Linked DNA regions of Nothobranchius furzeri. The protein of the gene in region 2 purifies or fractionates together with the protein of the main gene of each other region. This does not show direct contact. Links are inferred from orthologs where the notes say so. Each region holds a gene or a part of one and is shown on either strand. Other genes may lie near its edges.

Region 1 (4,969 bases), on a different chromosome or scaffold from region 2:
AGGTGAATCCTATAGGAAGCACAAATCATGGCTTCAGCAAGTTCGTCTCAGTTTTAGTATTTTATCTAAAGATACTTCTTGGTGAACGTCACTTGAGAATTTCTTTTGTGCCCTACCTCCTCCAATACAGGCGCCGTGAACAGCCACCACAACAGGCTTTGGACACTACAAGCAGATAAGAATAACTTCATTAACATTCCTGCGTCATTATTTGTCCAATGCATGTGATGAGGAGCTCTGACCTTCTCTATGACGGAGAACGTTTCTTGATATTTGGTGATGGTTTTTCTGAGGTTCCAGGAGATTCTTGCCACGTCGTCGCCTTTCGGCTGGAGGATATCATTGGCCATGTCCATCAGGTCAAGACCTGGACATCAACAGAGCATACGGAATAAGCGCAGCTCCGCTGATGAAACTGGCATTAGTTGTGACCCGAAACACACCAGCTGTGAACATCCTTCCTGCTCCTGACATGACCACCACCCTGCAGTCTTGGTCGTCTGCAATCTCATTAAAACAGTCCACCATCTCACTAAAAAATAAAAACACAAACACTATGTCAGGGCTGCTTCAACTATGGATGCGTTTGCAGCTAAGTTTCCGTTAAACTGGATTATTATTAATGTAAGTGATTAAATTTTATTTGTGTGGCACTCCTCACAGACAAAATCACAAAGTCATTAAATCATAGTCATCATAATGATGTGTGATGTGATTTTAATAAAATTATCCAAATAAAAGATTAAATTTAGATGCTTAAACCAAATATTAATGACCTCAAAGCAGAAATCCAGAGCTTTACCCTTTTCAGGAATTCTGTATGATTTTTTTTTTAGTAATCCGTAAAAGGGATAGGCTTCCCCTGTTCTGTAATATAATGTAAATGGAAAATGGCCTGTATTTGACATAGCGCCTTCTAGAGTCCTGGGACCCCCCAAGGAGCTTTACAACACAGTCAATCACCCATTCACACACACATTCACACGCTGGTGGGGATGAGCTACAATGTAGCCACAGCTGCCCTGGGGCGCACTGACAGAGGCGAGGCTGCCGTGCACTGGCGCCACCGGTCCCTCTGACCACCACCAGCAGGCAAGGTGGGTTAAGTGTCTTGCCCAAGGACACGACAGCGACAAACTGAGCGGGGCTCGAACCTGCAACCTTCCGATTATGGGGCGAGCACTTAACTCCTGTGCCATCATCGCCCCTAATGACGATAGGCAATAGTCGAGGTTATTTATCACTTGTAAGTCGCTTTGGACAAAAGCGTCTGCTAGATACATAAACATTTTGTTTTTTGCTAAGCCCACCTGCCCTATAGGCTCCCATACAATTTGAAATGAACTAGCCAATAGCGTTCGACATCTGCTTACGTACAAATGTCAATCACAGAGTGCGTGAACACCTGACGAATCATAGAGCGCAGCTACAACTGCCTTTTGAGGGACTAAAAATACAGAACAGATTGCCTACTTCTACTCAGCGAGTGAATGTGTGTGTGTGTGTGTGTGGGTGAATGACCGGATGTGTTGTAAAGCACCTTGAGGGGTTATACGACCCTAGAAGGCGCTATATAAATCCAAACCATTTACTCGAAGATAGACAAAAGTAAAGAAAAGCCCATGGACTAAACGATCGAGTCGTTTCAACTGTATCATGGAAGCAGGGGGAGGGGCTTGAAGTTGCAATACAATTCTGCCTGTAGATGGTGCCCTCTGAGAAAAATGGATTTCTGATTTATGATAGCATTTTAACTACTCTGCACTGCCTCCTTACTGTATTGTATACAAGCTCTAAAGCTATTATTTCTATATGTAATATTTTAGAAATAAATCTATAATATGTGTGTCCTTATGCATATGTGTGTCTAGATAAAATACATCTTAAAAGTTTTAAGAAAATGTGTGTTTCCTCAAGAAAATTGGCATAAAAACTATTACATGACTTCACTTGAAGAAAAGGTACCCCAATGTCACGGAAAAAAACACACATTTTGTATATTTATTGCTATAAAAATGCTCACCTCCAGAAAGCTTTGTTCATGGCGTTTCTCTTCTCAGGTCGGTGAAGTTCGACATGTGTGAGGGACTCTACTGGGCGACTGATGGCCAGGGTCGTGTATGGAGATGTGGGTCCATCTGAAGATGACATGTTCCTGACCAAAGCCTGAGCAGGCAGCCACAACCTACTGTCTGAAAAGGAATTAAACACGCTTGTGTTTATCTACATTAGGTCACTGATGTATACTAGCTAACCTGCTTTAGGGTGGGCTGTAATGCAAAAAACAGGATCAGGTGACTTGTCACCAAATGCTGCAGAACTGTTGTGTAAAGGGCCTGATAGCATTAAGATGCTTATTATTATGAAAAAATATCCAAAGTTTAATTATATATAAATACATATAGTTTGCAATATTTTGCAGCACCTCACTTGGTCATACATGAATATTACAGCTATGATCAAAACGACTGTTTAATTTCCTTTTCCATCAAAGTAAATCTGAATAATAATAATAAAACACCAATTTCTGTTAATTCCATGTACATTTTTTTATTTAAAGCATTTTAAAGGAATTTCAATCACCTTACAGCTGTAACCCTGCAAAAAGAGACTTAATTGTGAAATAAAAGTCTATATTGTAGACATGCTGTGACATTTGTTAACGCAATGCAAATCAGTAAAAAGGTTAGATACTCAGTATATTTATGCTACAACCTCAGTTATAACAAAAGTATATAAAAATACGTTAGAATGCGTGTCGATTAAGCAGCTACCTTTCACCTACAAACCTCTCCAGGCTTTGTTCATCTCGGTCAATTTGAGGGTTAAATACAAAGTAGAGCTAGTACTAATGACTAACATCCAAACAAACGTGCACATCATGTGACAAAAGAAAACATCTGAACTAAAACAGAAACACAGAAAAAAGGTTAATCCGTTACTTACATCTGGGGAGAGTTGACCTGATACTGACTGACAACATCGCCCTTTGAACGCTGCAGTCGGGAAGCTTTGGTGAACGGTTAAACCAAAGCAAACTGGCAAAAGACTAACGACGTCTAGCTAACCCTAACTAGTAACCAACAAGTTGGCTGGCTTGCCAAAACTCTTCACTGCTTCATTGGTTAGCTTCCAAATGACAGAAAGACTGCTTGACCGCTTTAACCTAAATCTACATGAAATAAGAGGAATGTTTAAAGCAAAAACTGGCCATAAATGTTAACATTTCGCTCTCCTGATTAGCTTAGCCTCTCTAAATTGGTTCTACGGTAGCCGAGTTGGCGCAAACGCTCCAGAAACGCTCTCTTTCGTCACTGTGACGTATAGAAAAACTGGACGAATCCTATGCCATATATCCATTTTACTTATTATTATTAATAAAAGACAATGACAATAATAATAAAATGTACTCTGTTGTTATTAGTTTTACAGTAGCCTAGGTTTGTAATTACATATAATGTCCATTACAATAATGTGCTTAAAAACTGTACTATAAACAAAAAAAGTTAATCATTCTAAGGTTTTAATTTCCTCCTTTTTTTTTTTTTTTACCTCTTTTTACTTTCCAGTTTGAATTTATTTTTAGTCAAAGTGCATTATCTTCTGGGGCACAATCTGATATTTTCATTTGTTAATTTGACAGCAGTTTTTATTGTTTTTTTGTTTCACAACTTTTTAAAAGTGGCTGCTTGAGGGCTTCCAGTTATAAATGTCTGATCATTTCATATACAAACACTGAATGTGGACATTCTTGGTTTTTAAAAGAATGTACGCAAATGGGCAGAGATTTTTGCTTGGTGCCCACAACAGAGATCAGAAAAGTGCAAAGCCATGAACATATCTTCTGCTGAAAGTAATTAAGCGCAGATTGCAGAAACTAATAAATAGAAATTTACTCTTTAAATTAAGCTTTCAATAAATGAGTAACATTAAATTTAGTATAAATTAGGTGTGAAAACTCAACAGGAAATAAACTACATTAATTATAATGTGCTCAAATCTGTCCCAAACAAAGTCCAATAATATTTCGGATCAATTTTTTAAACATAAACAATATAATGGGTTGGCTCACATACAGTTTAATTTAAACTGAATTTAGTTCAATTTAATCTTTAAAATGAGCTTTTAATCTATAGTTTGATTTATTCAACAGACCAAACAATAGCTTTAAATTCAATATTCTTTGAGAGATTTGTGATTTTTTTAAAGATATTTCTAACATATAAATGTTAAATAAAAATGACTTTTTCATGTACAACATATTTCCATCATGAGGTCTCAGTAGCTGTTCCAGAGTGTTATTTTTTCTCATCTGTGGTTATTGACCTGTAAATGAGTATATTTTTATTTTAAAAATAAATTAGTAACATGAGATAAAACATTAAATGACAGAAAATCCTCAAAATGACTATCTAGTAAAAATCCACCTCCAATCCTTGGAATTTGTTTGGTTATTAACCAGATGTGGAACATGTTCCCTCAAAAACAAAAGTTAGAGTAATTAGATGAATAAAACACACTGGATATTAAGAATGATTTTATTCATTCAATATATAAAACATCACTAAAATAGAAAAGTTTTGATCACAACTGATCATAAATAAAAATTGACAAAATAATTAATACAAATATTTCCAAAAACAGAAAAACTAAAAACTTTTTGGGCATTTAAAGACACATTTTATGTAAGAGATTTTATTTGTTTGCCAAACCTGTTTGTGAACCAATGAAATCAAAGTTAAAGACTGAGGTAGACATGCAAAAGAACAAATACATTCATGTTCAAGAGGTAAAACACGGACTTTGTCTGGTTCTGTCTCTGGGGTTGATCCAACATCTCAGACATTTCAGATGGAGTCAGGGTAGGTGTTAAGGATTTGATCACAGTCAAAGTTTTCTAACTGATCTTTAGAGATGCCTCTCATTGATTTGGCTGCCCATTCAGGATGGGCAATGGGTTCTGACCAGT
Region 2 (4,947 bases):
GACTAATCTGAGACACGTGAAAGCATCTGACTGCCTCTGTGCTTAAAGATTCAACAACCACAGAGAGCGACATGGCTAGACTGTTCAACCTAGATTTTCTCACATCACACCACCATATGGCCGTTAGCTGGAATTTCCTCCCCCTTTTATAAAACGATCACCTTGCTCCATTTTGGGCAGAGAACAATAAAACTCCAATTTTAACTGGGAAAGCTGGTGTGATTAAACTATTTAGCAAAAAACTAAAAACATACAGCTTTTATTTGTGTGGATTTAAAGTGACAATGTGTAGTTTTTACCATTAATATCTGGAAATACCCATCGAAAGTTTGTTTAAAATGAATTAAATGACGCCCAGTTGTTTAAAAATAATGGCAGCTTCATAACATATAACCATTAAAGTCTGTTTTAAAATACATGAGAGTGAGTCTAAGGCCCTGTCCACACGTAGCCGGAGATCTGCCAAAACGTAGATATTTTTCTACGTTTTGGCCTGTCATCCACACGAAAACGGAGTTTTTTCACACGAAAACGGATCTTTTTAAAAACTCCGGCCAAAGTGAAGATCTGCGTTTTCTCCGTTTTGGGTGTCTGCGTGTGGACAGACAAAACCGGAGTTTTAAGGTCCGCAACGTCACTTTCCGCGACAAAAAAATGCTGACATCACGTGTGCGACCTGTGTTTACACTAGCCGACAGCATGGATGCCCTCAGAGCTGCGCTCGCTTTTTCAATTGTCCAAGCGCTTTTTGCTCGTTTGTTTTTGCAAGCGGAATTACTGCTCCTTGCGGAAGACCACAGACGAAGGACGAGGTTAAGAACGGGGGAAGTACTGCCGCCTACAGGTTTGGCATGTCCTTAACAACGTATTTATCCGGGTACGTGTGGACAGAGTTTTTTTTTAAACGAGGTGGTGTGGATGCAAGTTTTTGGAGGGGTGGATATTCGTTTTTAAAGAAACCCGGCTACCTGTAGACTAGGCCTCAGTCTCTGGGCAACACCATATTAGATGCCATGTTTCCTTCTATGGAAGTCCATGAGGACAAAAAGCATCTACTAATTTATGACAAACTGTTACAAAATTGTTACCATTAATAAACATTGTTGTTTTACACAGCTCCCTCTTAACTTGCTGCCAGTGGTGAAACGGAGTCTGAGTCTTGTGATGTTGCTGGAGGTTTAACTCCCAGGGATTTTTGACCCTAAAGGCCACCTGTTGGTAAGGTCTTACTTGAACACAAAAATACTGCTTGCTTGCAATGATTCAAGTTATGTACTTCCCCTATGGCAGGGGTGGGGAACCCTGGTCCTCGAGGGCCGGTATCCTGCATGTCTTTGCTTCAACACTTCTGATACAGTGGTTGGTTCACCTGTTCTGCAGCTCATCAGACTCTGCTAAAGCCTGTTAATCACCTGCTGATTGAAATCAGGTGTGATGATGCAGGGTTGAAACTAAAATATGCTGGATAGCGGCCCTCGATGGACCAGGGTTCCCCGCCCCTGCCCTATTGCCTGGGAAAATACACACTGCCACTTTAATGGCACACTTGGCAGTCTTGCTTGTTTTTAGCACCCTCAAGTGTCCATTATTATTTATCTGATGTTAAACCGAAAACAAAATTATCTCCTCGCTGTGAGTCCCTCTTTTTAAAATCCTTAAACAGCTGAAATGTCTCCTCAGCCTTCATTAGTGTCTACAGGAGCAGTTCCTCACTAAATTAAACTAACACTGAAGTTGTCAGCCACAAAGGGCGGTAGGGATCTGAATGACATTTCGTTAACTATGTAAAGGGTCGTTTTAGCACATACTGGCTCAAGAAAACTATTTAAAAACATGAATCCCTTCAACATTTGGTTGTCCACGTGTGGCTTTTGATCCTCAGGTTCTAACTAATTTCTAGATTTTGCAAATCAATAAGTAAAAAGGTAATTGAAAAATGAACCAACTATTATATATTTCTTTGCTGCATGCCCATAAAACAGGCTTTGATCAAAAACGTCATTGTCTGCATTAACAGCATGTAAAAACCCATACTGAACTGGTTCTGTTGTAATCATGAACCAATTAATTTTTTCATCCTAATGCAAAGAATATATCTAATCTTCCTCAATGTTAAGCAACATCACTAATAAACTCATAAAACAACAAAAAAAGTTATCCGGGTTTGGTTTTCCAGTCATATTCCTCCTGAGAACGGAAACAGAGGCGTTACATGAAGGAACCACATCCTGTCTTGTTTACTTCCTGCATTGAAAAACTGCATCACCCAGGAGAGCACCACATTACCGGGCAATAAACATCTCATGTCAGTGTAACAAAACACTTGCCTCAGAGCACAAAATCTGGAACAACGGAATATACAACATTATGAGCAATCACAAAACCTTATAAATATTTAAATTCTTAAACTCAATAACATAACTGCAACAGCAGTAGCTTAAGTAATAGCCCTACCTTGTGAGAGTAGTGAGGATCCATGATGCGGGCCAACCCAAAGTCCCCAATCTTAAGTACTAGGTCCTCTGTGTTAACAAACAGGTTGGCAGGCTTGAGGTCACGGTGCAGCACATTGGCAGAGTGGATGTACTTTAGGCCCCTTAGGAGTTGGTACATGAAGAGCCTGGCGTGGCCTTCAGACATAGGGCCTCGCTCCAGCAGCTGACAGAGGTCTGTCTCCATGTACTCCTGTACAATGTAGACAGAGTTTACCTCTGTCAGCGATGCCACATCTTCTGTTAGCCTGCGACCACAGGGGCCTAGGGTCTCAAACACCTGAAAAAGTCAACACCAGACATTACAGCAAATGTTCAAAGTAAAAAGTAAGTCAACTCATTTTGTTTGATAAACCACCAGAAGCTCCTACCTTGACAATGTTGTCGTGATCAAGTCGTCGAATTATCTTGATTTCCCGCAGGGCATGCTTGACACTCTGGGGATCAGTCAAGATAATTTTCTTCACAGCTACACGCTTGTCACAGTCAGTGTCGACCGCTGAAAACACCAGGCCGTTTCCTCCATAGCCCAGAGGCTTCAAGTCCATGTAGCGAGATCCCAGGTCAAAGCCATGGATATTCATCAATGACTCAAACTTTTCTGCCATGATGATGTTTTTTAGGCTTTAAGCTATTTTCAAGTTTATTTTCAGGCCTTTTACAAGCCCAACTTTAACACCTAAAGAGGAATTTGTTAAAAAAAATTCCCCCTTTCCTTCAAAGGATGATCCAACTAACCCCTGTACAGATGACTACCCAGTCCCCCTGGTTAGCCGTCAATGTCAGATGTGGGGCACTAATGTGAAATCATACGTTCCCTCCATGTTCAGTAGGAAAAATATTTAATATAACAAATTATTTTAACAGCTCCAAGTAAACTAGTGTTTATAAACTATATTGGAATGAAAATTCCAGGCCAATTGGAAGGGAGTAAAAAAAAAAAGCACTGGGATTAGGTTAAACTAGAAAGATGTAGTCACATCCTCACAGTGCAAATACATTCAGTGTACGACTGGTCCTGAGTAGCTTCATATGAAATGTGCCTTATTGCACAAATATTCTTTTTCTTAAATTTCTTCACCTGATCTATAAATTTGAAATGAATCTTGTTCAAAAAAATCTTTCACCCTCAATGATCAGGTGGCTCAAGCTCACCACAATCACAATCAAAGCTATCCTCCATTTTACTTGGATATAACCTGAAAAGAGAAAAACAAAATACTGATTAGAATACAAAGAAACTAGAAAATGGGTGTTCGTGTAAATTTCCTACAAAACGTAATCAAACGTCCCCTTTTGTACGTTAACATGTCATTAGGGACACCAAAACCGCTTTCGCTTTAACCCCGTGTCCTAGAGACATTTGCCCCGCCCCTAACCGGTAGAAGCGCTTGCTAGTCCGGTTTCTGGACATCGATTAATTCCAGAGAAAATACAAGTCAGAATAATAAAATGTACGACAACGTAGGAAAACAGCACATCAATGACAGATGACATATTTTATGCCGAGCTTATACCGCTCGTTTTGGCCTTTTCGAGTGAAACCCTGGCGGAAAAAAACCGACAAGCAAAGAGACAAGCCGCTCGCACAGCGGCTGTCGACTCGGTATCAATTTTATCACAAACACAGCCAGTGGCACACACATAAAATACATTATAAAAATAACACGTTAAAGTCTAGACATCGTGTATTTAATAAATGTCAAGTATAAAGGTTAAACAGAAACCCGGCAATCGCGCGAACAAAGGAGTCCCTGTTGGCGGAGGGTTTTGACTACGTGGTATAGCTCTCTCGGCGCTACACTACACAAAGCCGACGGCGGCTAAAAGGCTCAAAACGAGCATAAAACGGCAGTGAAATTACATCATTCGTAAGCAATAATGACGATAATCAATGTGTGTGAAATTACTTACAGTCCTTATTCGTCGCATTAGTTAGGTTATTGTGTAAATCAAACCCAGACGAGGTTTGACTGCGCTTCGCTCCCCGACCTCTGCGGATCTACTGCAATCGCCATTATGCTGGCTATGAAAGGAAACGGTCACGTCAGAATGCTACATTCAATGACTATCGGAATTGTTCCTACTACAGCGAGAGAACGCTGAAGCTACGTCAAACCATTTATTTTAGATTGCTTAATCACACCGAACTGAATTAGAACATGTCACAATAAATAAAAAATAATAATTGAAATAACAAAAATCATCCAAATAAATTTGTAAATATTTATTTCTCATATGTTAAAAAAGGTGGGCTTATTTACCATGGAACACTGCAAACTACGCTGCTCTTTTTTTTTTATTAAATTCAATATTTTGTTCTTTTTTTTTGTAGTCCAGGAAATACAAGTATTCCTTTGACATATTCCATAAGGCTTCCATTAATGCTTACTGTATTTTCAGTATTATATAACCGATATTAGTAACATAAAATGCAAACTAAACCCTCCTAATT

The links.
Region 1: the proteins of mapk6 (region 2) and ech1 purify together in Homo sapiens (affinity purification with mass spectrometry; 3 studies listed by BioGRID and IntAct, with this or other methods). This does not show direct contact. The link is inferred for Nothobranchius furzeri from reciprocal best matches to the Homo sapiens genes MAPK6 and ECH1.

The regions. Positions count from the first base shown.
Region 1 is NC_091753.1:47,224,248-47,229,216, forward strand, and holds the start of ech1 (delta(3,5)-Delta(2,4)-dienoyl-CoA isomerase, mitochondrial), read right to left. Parts: upstream 3,217-4,969; 5' UTR 2,984-3,216; coding exon 2,947-2,983; intron 2,193-2,946; coding exon 2,024-2,192; intron 533-2,023; coding exon 444-532; intron 368-443; coding exon 243-367; intron 166-242; coding exon 117-165; intron 1-116. UniProt on the Homo sapiens protein: Isomerization of 3-trans,5-cis-dienoyl-CoA to 2-trans,4-trans-dienoyl-CoA.
Region 2 is NC_091749.1:41,777,093-41,782,039, forward strand, and holds the start of mapk6 (mitogen-activated protein kinase 6), read right to left. Parts: upstream 3,334-4,947; 5' UTR 3,101-3,333; coding exon 2,864-3,100; intron 2,773-2,863; coding exon 2,455-2,772; intron 1-2,454. UniProt on the Homo sapiens protein: Atypical MAPK protein. Phosphorylates microtubule-associated protein 2 (MAP2) and MAPKAPK5.